Linked DNA regions of Ovis aries. The protein of the gene in region 2 interacts with the protein of the main gene of each other region in a biochemical or structural test. Links are inferred from orthologs where the notes say so. Each region holds a gene or a part of one and is shown on either strand. Other genes may lie near its edges.

Region 1 (4,415 bases), on a different chromosome or scaffold from region 2:
AGCTGTCAGATACCTCAGAGTTTTAACTGAAATGCTTCTACTTTAAATATGGATGATGAGCTGAAACTTTGCCAAAAACTTTGCAGAGTAAATAAAGCTTAGATGTTCTCATGAGGGTTGTTCTTTTCTTATTCGACTGCCCCTAAGGCAATTTATAAGGTATGCTTTATTAGTAATGAAAATTCACATTTACTGAGGGTTTACTCTGTGCCAGACACTCTTGTAAGTGGTTTGCATTATTAACTCATTCAGTCTTCACAACAACCCTATCAACAAAGTGCTATTATTATCCTGCTTTATAGAAGGAGCAAACTGAGGTGGAGAGCAAAGTACCCAGGTACTTTGCCCTGGGTCTCAAGAGGTTTTAAGCAGGTTTCAAATCCAGATGGCCCAGCTCTGGAGCTCAAGCTTTTAACCACTATACTTTACTGCTTTCCTCCCCTTGTAGATGAGGGAACTGAAGTCCAGAGAAACTGAGAAGTTGTCCAAGATCACAGGAGTGGAAACCCCTCAAGAAGTGACTTGAAGCTATCATCACAGGGATAGACACTTGTACTTTCTACTGGTCTGTCATTAGTTACCTGTTGCCCCTACTAGACTGCACGGCTAGCACTGAGACCAGGGACAGGAATACAAATATTTGTAAATATGAGTGTCCAGGAGATGCAAAACAGTCCTTTCACCTCTGTTAATAACGTCATTTACTTCTCACAACAATCCCCAGGTAAGACAGTAGTTAACATTTAATCACTTCCGTGCGTCATTATCGGAGAAGGCAATGGCACCCCACTCCAGTACTCTTGCCTGGGAAATCCCATGGGCGGAGGAGCCTGGTAGGCTGCAGTCCATGGGGTCGCGAAGAGTCGGACACGACTGAGCGACTTCACTTTCACTTTCATGCACTGGAGAGGGAAATGGCAACCCACTCCAGTGTTCCTGCCTGGAGAATTCCAGGGACTGGGGTGCCTGGTGGGCTGCCGTCTATGGGGTCGCACAGAGTCGGACACGACTGAAGTGACTTAGGAGTAGCAGTGCGCCATTATCGCTTTTAAACCTCACAAACACAGTTTCATTGGTACTATTATTATCCCCATTTGACAGAATAAGAAACTGAGGCTCAGTGCAGCTCAGTGACTTGCACAAGATTCGGCAACCAGTACGTGGCAAAGCCAGGATTCTAGTTTAGGCTATTTGACAACAGAGGCCTCGTTCTTGACCATGGGGCAAACACTATCTGTTCTAAAGATGGGAAACTGCCCCAGGACAGAGCATTAAGCTGTGCCCGTGGAATCGAACCTACTACGTAGGGCACACAGCACTCTTTTCCTTCCTCTTCTTGGGCCGCGGGGTGCCACTGTGAGGTGGAAGGCGGAGGACGAGAAGAGGAAGCCCTTTCCCATAAGGTACAGAGAGTCGCTTGGGATGCTCTAACTCCGGACCTAATTGACAGATCCCGCGGCACCATGGCAACAGCGCGGGCTGCAGAACGGAAGTGCGTCACCCTATGGGAGGGCTAGATCTGCGATGGCAACCAATGGGAGCTCCACATCCGCGTTCGCCCCGCCTAGAAGGAGGGGCCGAACCCTCCTTTCTGCCTTCGTCGTCGTCTGTGTGGACTGCGCTTGGGCGCTGTGGTGGGTAATCTGGGCGTCCCGGCGGGAGGCTGAAGGGAAAAGAAAACGGCCGCCTCGAAAGGCGAGGGGCGGGCAGCAGGTGCGGTCAGGCCCCGGGGTCGGTCCCGTGGTGTGGCACAGTGTGTCGCCGGGGTCCGGGGGCCTGGGGCTTCTCAGTTCCTGGTGGGGAAACTGAGGCCCCGAGAGGGGCAGGCTGGAAGCTAGGCCCTTACACGGAGACAGACGTTTTAAAGTCGTAATATTAGGTGAGGAAATACTTTAAATCAGAATATTAGTTGTAAAAGCGAAATACAAAATTGACTAATCTGAATAAGTACGGCCTTCCACTGACCATGCTTTCGGTGTTGACAGCCTCTGCTTCCCTACTATTTTGGGTACAGAACTTATTACCTTGTACAAGTGCGCAGCTCCTTATTTCAGAGCCCTGAGGCTACATGTGTTCAGAATGCCGAATTTCTCGAGTTTTCCAAAGGTAATGTACATGCATTGTAGGTCCTGTCATATCTTCAGCAGGGTCTTGAGCAGTGTCTTGTAATCAGATACTTTTTTCACAGCTAAATATATGCGTATGTACACATATATATAGGGGGTAAGCAACAACCCTAAATAACCTCACCTTAGGTTAGATCAGGTTTTCAAACTTAAAAGAGTTGGTTTTGAGAGTGTGTTCGATTTGAGAATTGCAGAGAAGGGACCTGGATGATAATTTTATTGTTCACTCATATTTCTTGAATATTTGAACCGAGGGTGTCAGAATTCCTAACTGCTTTTGTATGGTCACTCCCTGTCTCCATTACTAATTCTGTTGCCTTCTACCCTCTCAGCCTCAGGTTCCTCATCTGTAAAATAGGATCATGCTTTCTTCATAAGATTCTGACAAGGATGAAATGAGACTGCACGTGAAGCGTTTATACTGTGTCTGGCACTTGGCACAGATGGTTATGTTTGAGATTTTCTTATTCCACAAACTTTTCTATTTATAAATTACTTGGGTAGGTAATACATATCCATGGTTAACCCCTGCCCCCTTCATAGAGGCAACTGACTTCAATGCACAAACAAGCCTTTTTTTTTATTAAGATAGTAACACACAACTATAAGTTTGAAGAACAAAAGTACAATGACCATCCACCACCTAGTTAAGAAATAGAACATTATCATTTTCTCAAAGCCTACATTGAATTCTTTTCTTCCCTCCCGGAAGATAACCACTGCCCTGAATATTGTGTTATCATTCCCTTGTTCTTCTTTGTAGTTTTTAGTATTATCTCATTAATGCAATGCACGGATTTGCTAGTTTTTAGATTCTATATAAATGGGATCCAGATATATATTTTGTGAGTTGATTCTTACACATAATGTTACGTCTAAGAGATGCATCCATATTGCCATGAGTAGCTCTACTTCATTGCTGCTTTGAATTCCATGGTATGTTTATAAATGCCTTTATGTAGATATTCTTGAGTTGAAACTGTTGCCAGATTTTTGCTATTACAGCATGCTACTTTTACTTTAGGAAGTTTATAAACGTACTTCCTGAGGTAAATGTGAAAATTTCTGTAAGGCATATACCTAAGAGTGGTTTTGTGGGGATATCAGATTTGCTAATGTTATCAAATAAACATCTGAAGTAATTAGAAGGGCTTATACTCTACCAGCAGTTGATGCAAGTTTCAGCCTCAACCATTTTTAAGAATGTATGCCTGTCTGGTGATGGATAAGACATTAGTCACTGTGGTTTAACACTTATTTGCCTGGTGCGAGATTGAACGTTTCTTATCTTAATTTATTAATCACTTGTGCATTGTCTTCATAAAATTCTCCATGTTCGTTCTTCCAGTTGTCTTCCTCTTACTGGTTTGTAGGAGTTTTTTTTTTTTTTTTAATCTCATTATGGATCTTTTGTGGTTTAAATGTGTTTCAAGTATCTTCTAGTTTGAGCTTGTCTTCTGTTTCTGACTCCCGTGCTTTCTGTTTTTGGTGAGCAAAGTTCTTAATTTTAACAAAGTCGATTTATCAGTGTATTGTATGGTTTGTTTTTTTCATATCTTTTAAAGAAGTCCTTTCCTACCTTTGGGTCCTAAAGACAAACTCCTGTGTTGTCTAAAACTTTTATAATGTTCCTTTCTTATGATCTTAACCCTCAAGAATTGATTTTTGTGGATACTGTGAAATAAGTGTCTAATTTTATTTTTATTTTGTTCATGTATGTATAATGGGCTGTCCTGGCACCTTTCATTGAAAAGTGCTTTTCCCTGAAGTTCCATTTCTGCAGCATGCCAAGTATCCATATATATACCCTTTTCTATTCCTTAGTTGTCTGTTCTATTCCATTGGCCTTGTTTGTCCATTTCTGTACTATTACCACAACTTTATTATTATTATCACACTGTATTCATTACTCTAGCTGTATATTAAGTCTTGGGACCTGGTATGACAAGTCCTCCAGGAATGTCTTTGCTGTTTTGTGTTTACATTTTCCATATACATTTTAGAATCATCTTGTCAAATCACACACAATCATGCCCACCAAGCCTGTTAGGATTTTGATTGGAATTGTTTTGATTCAGTTACATTGGATCACTTTGAATTTTAAAGTAACTGCTTTTAACTTTTCATCCTTAAGTGTTCTGTGTGCTGTGGTTTTTGTAGATGTCATTTAGTAAAGGAAGTTTCCTTTTATGCCAAGTCTGTTAAAAGAGTTTCTATATGAATGAATGTTGAATTTTATCAGCTATTATTTTCTGCATCTATTAGGATGATTGTGTGCTTTTTCTTCTT
Region 2 (3,407 bases):
AGGAAAAGGGGATGACAGAGGATGAGATGGCTGGATGGCATCACCGACTTGATGGACGTGAGTTTGAGTGAACTCCGGGAGATGGTGATGGACAGGGAGGCCTGGCGTGCTGCAGTTCATGGGGTCGCAAAGAGTCAGACACGACTGAGCGACTGAACTGAACTGATGGTGATTCTGAAATGGCAGTAAATAACTAAGGAAGGCTTGAAAGGAGAGAGAGAAGTGGAGCCAGAGGAGGAAAGGGGAGGAAATGAGAGAAGAGGGAGAGACAGCAGGGGAGGAAAGAGGAGGAGAGAGGAGGAAGAGGTAGAGGAAGAGAGGGAGGAGGAGCTGGAGAGAAAGGGGGTTGGGAGACAGACTGGTAAAGGTCAGAGCAGAGCAGGTAAAAAGAAATAAATAATGGGAGTAATTAAGTTTGATTAGGTTAGAAACAAAACCCCTCCCCTTTCCTCCAGTTAGTTACTATTTCTGCCAGCTGTACCTTGACATCTCTTTTATCATCTTCTTTGACTCCTGTAGAATCTGCTATCCTTACCCTCTCGTCATCCATTTTACAATACTTATGGAGTGCCTCTATGTGCTGGGCACTGTTCTGGGCACTGGGGATAATGCCAATGAACAAGGCAGGGCACATCTCAGTTCCTATTCTGCACTATAATAATGCCAATACTCCAAGCTAGATTCCCAGCTTTTGGTCAGCCCTTCTCCAATCCATACTCCACAGGGCCACCAGAGAGACTAGATGATACAGATCCGGTCCGGACACTCCCTTGTTTAAACAGATTTCAATCTCCCGAGCATCGTGTTCAAAGTCTGTCACGAACTGTCCCGCACAGCCTTTTATCTCCCAGGCTTTACCTCCATGCAGACCGCACTTGTGACACAGTGAATCACTCAAAATCTTAGACACGCGCACTTAGAAATAAGCACCTGCTGAAGGGACGTGGCTAGAACTCCATCCCTACTTCATCCTTCTACACTGAAACCTTAGGATAGCCTGGTTGCTCCCGCCTCCAGCCTGTCAGACTAAAAGTCAGCCCTGACTCCTCCACAGCCTGGGCATCCTGAGAAGCCTGTGAGCACTCCTACCCCAGCGGGAGCCGGAAGAGGACGGGCTTCGCGCGGCCTCGGGGCCGCCATCTTGGCTGAGTTGGCCGGAAGAAGTCTGGCAAGTCGGCCAGCGAGTGCGCACTGAGGCTGCGCGGTGGCCGCGTCGCGGCAACCGTCCCGAGCCTTCTGCGGTGCAGCCCAGCAGCCGCAAAACCCCGTGTCATCTCTCCTAGTCCTCCTGCAGCCGCCCCAGCCGCTGTCCAACCCCTCCACCGGGGTTTGTGCAGCGGCTCGCACACCCCGCGGCCCGCGTACGCGCTCTGCACCTGCCTGCCCGAAAACATGTTGCAGAAACCCGAGAGCGGGGCTCTCCCCATCCCTCAGGCGGAGAGGGAGATGGATGGCAGCCATGACGGTGAGACCCAGCCTCTGACCGCCTCGCAGGAGATGGCCCCGAGCCCCCTCCTGCAGGAGAGCCCCGAGGAGGACCTTGGCGCTGTAAGGGAGGAGGGGGCTTCGGAACCCTCTCTCACCCCGAAAGGCGCGAGGGCTTTGGCAGCCAAAACCTTGGCCCGGCGTAGAGCCTGCCGCCGTCTGGATCGGACGGTAGCCGAGTTGGTGCAATTTCTGCTGTTGAAGGACAGGAAGAAGAGCCCCATCACTCGCTCCGAGATGGTGAAATACGTTATCGGAGACTTAAAGGATCTATTCCCTGAGATCATCGCAAGGGCCGCAGAGCATCTGCGGTACGTCTTCGGTTTCGAGCTGAAACAGCTTGACCGCAAGCACCACACTTACATCCTGATCAACAAGCTAAAACCTATTGAGCATGAGGAGGAGGCTCTGGGAGGAGATGGCCCCAGGTTGGGTCTCTTAATGATGATCTTGGGCCTTATCTACATGAAAGGTAATAGCGCCAGAGAGGCACAGGTCTGGGCGATGCTGCGTCGGTTGGGGGTGCGTCCCTCAAAGTATCACTTCCTCTTTGGGTACCCGAAGAGGCTTATTATGGAAGATTTCGTGCAGCTGAGATACCTCAATTACAGGCGTGTGCCTCACACCAACCCACCGGAATGTGAATTCTCTTGGGGTCCCCGAAGCAACTTGGAAACCAGCAAGATGAAAGTCCTGGGGTTCGTGGCCAAGCTCCATAAGAAAGAACCCCAACACTGGCCAGTGCAGTACCGTGAGGCCCTGGCAGATGAGGCTGATAGGGCCAGAGCTGGGGCCAGTGTGAGGGCTAGGGCCAGCACTCACCTCTGGTGAGGGCCAGCTAGGGGTGGGGGTGGGACGATATAAAAGCTACCGTCTGCGTCATAAGTAGACTCGGTGGGGAGAGGGTCTTTATTTCTGTAGCATTTGTGTTCGTGTAACTAGGATTTAGTTTTTGTATCTTGCTCGGTTTTGCTACGTTTAATATACTGTTAAATTGATGTTTATAAATGAAATTCGTCTACTTTTTCCTGTAGGATTTTGTTGTAGATTTTTGCTGGTTTTGTAAAATGAATTGAAAAAACTTTACATTTTTTTCTGTGGTCTTGAACAAATTATGCAGCACCAAATGATGTATTTAAATAGTTTGAAGGAACTCAGCAGTATAATGATCTGGTACCAGGGGAAAAAATAGCTAAATGGTATCTAGCTTTCTAACAGTTTTTGTCTATTGTATAAAGAAAAAAGACTGACATGTAACTCTGCTTAGTTATTATAATATCTGGTGGGGGGGATGCAATAAATTAGAGGTATAACCTGGTACACATAATAAACATTTGTTAAGCATCTTTGTGTGATGCACTGTTGTGGGTATTTGGGAATTAAAGGGCTTCCCAGGTGACTCAGGTTAAAGAATCTGCCTGCAATGCAGGAGACCCAGGTTCCATCCCTGGGCTGGGAAGATCCCCTGGAGAAGGGACTGGCAACCCACTTCAGTATTCTTACCTGGAGAGTTCCGTGGACAGAGGAGCTTGGAGAGCTACAGTCCGTGGGATCGAAAAGAGTTGGACATGACTGAGCAACTAATACACACATGCTGAGCAAGATAAAGGTCCTACTCTTCACAGCTGGACAGTAAATAAACCAGAAATTATAGTACAGTGAGTTGAAGGCTACAGTGGGACACCCAGCCCCATTGGAGTGATTGAGTGAGGCTTGCCTGAAATTACCTTTAGTGGGACTTCAGTGTAGGGAAGGTGAAAAGACGGGGGTGGGGGGTCGGGGAGAAGTTGCAGTGAGGAGATGGTATTAAAAATGACTACTTAAGATGCTCTTTAGTTACATGGGATGACTTGATAGATCTGGAAAACAGCCACCTTTGGCCAGTGTACTTGGCCCAGGGCTCTTTATTACAGTGGATACAT

The links. The genes of interacting proteins can lie anywhere in the genome.
Region 1: the proteins of MAGEF1 (region 2) and NSMCE1 form a complex in vitro, tested with the Homo sapiens proteins (2 studies listed by BioGRID). The link is inferred for Ovis aries from reciprocal best matches to the Homo sapiens genes MAGEF1 and NSMCE1.

The regions. Positions count from the first base shown.
Region 1 is NC_056077.1:25,353,909-25,358,323, reverse strand, and holds the start of NSMCE1 (non-structural maintenance of chromosomes element 1 homolog), read left to right. Parts: upstream 1-1,587; 5' UTR 1,588-1,713; intron 1,714-1,749; exon of another isoform or gene 1,750-1,879; intron 1,880-4,415. UniProt on the Homo sapiens protein: RING-type zinc finger-containing E3 ubiquitin ligase that assembles with melanoma antigen protein (MAGE) to catalyze the direct transfer of ubiquitin from E2 ubiquitin-conjugating enzyme to a specific substrate.
Region 2 is NC_056054.1:203,287,767-203,291,173, forward strand, and holds MAGEF1 (melanoma-associated antigen F1), read left to right. Parts: upstream 1-1,224; 5' UTR 1,225-1,392; coding exon 1,393-2,316; 3' UTR 2,317-2,829; downstream 2,830-3,407. UniProt on the Homo sapiens protein: Enhances ubiquitin ligase activity of RING-type zinc finger-containing E3 ubiquitin ligases. Proposed to act through recruitment and/or stabilization of the E2 ubiquitin-conjugating enzyme at the E3:substrate complex.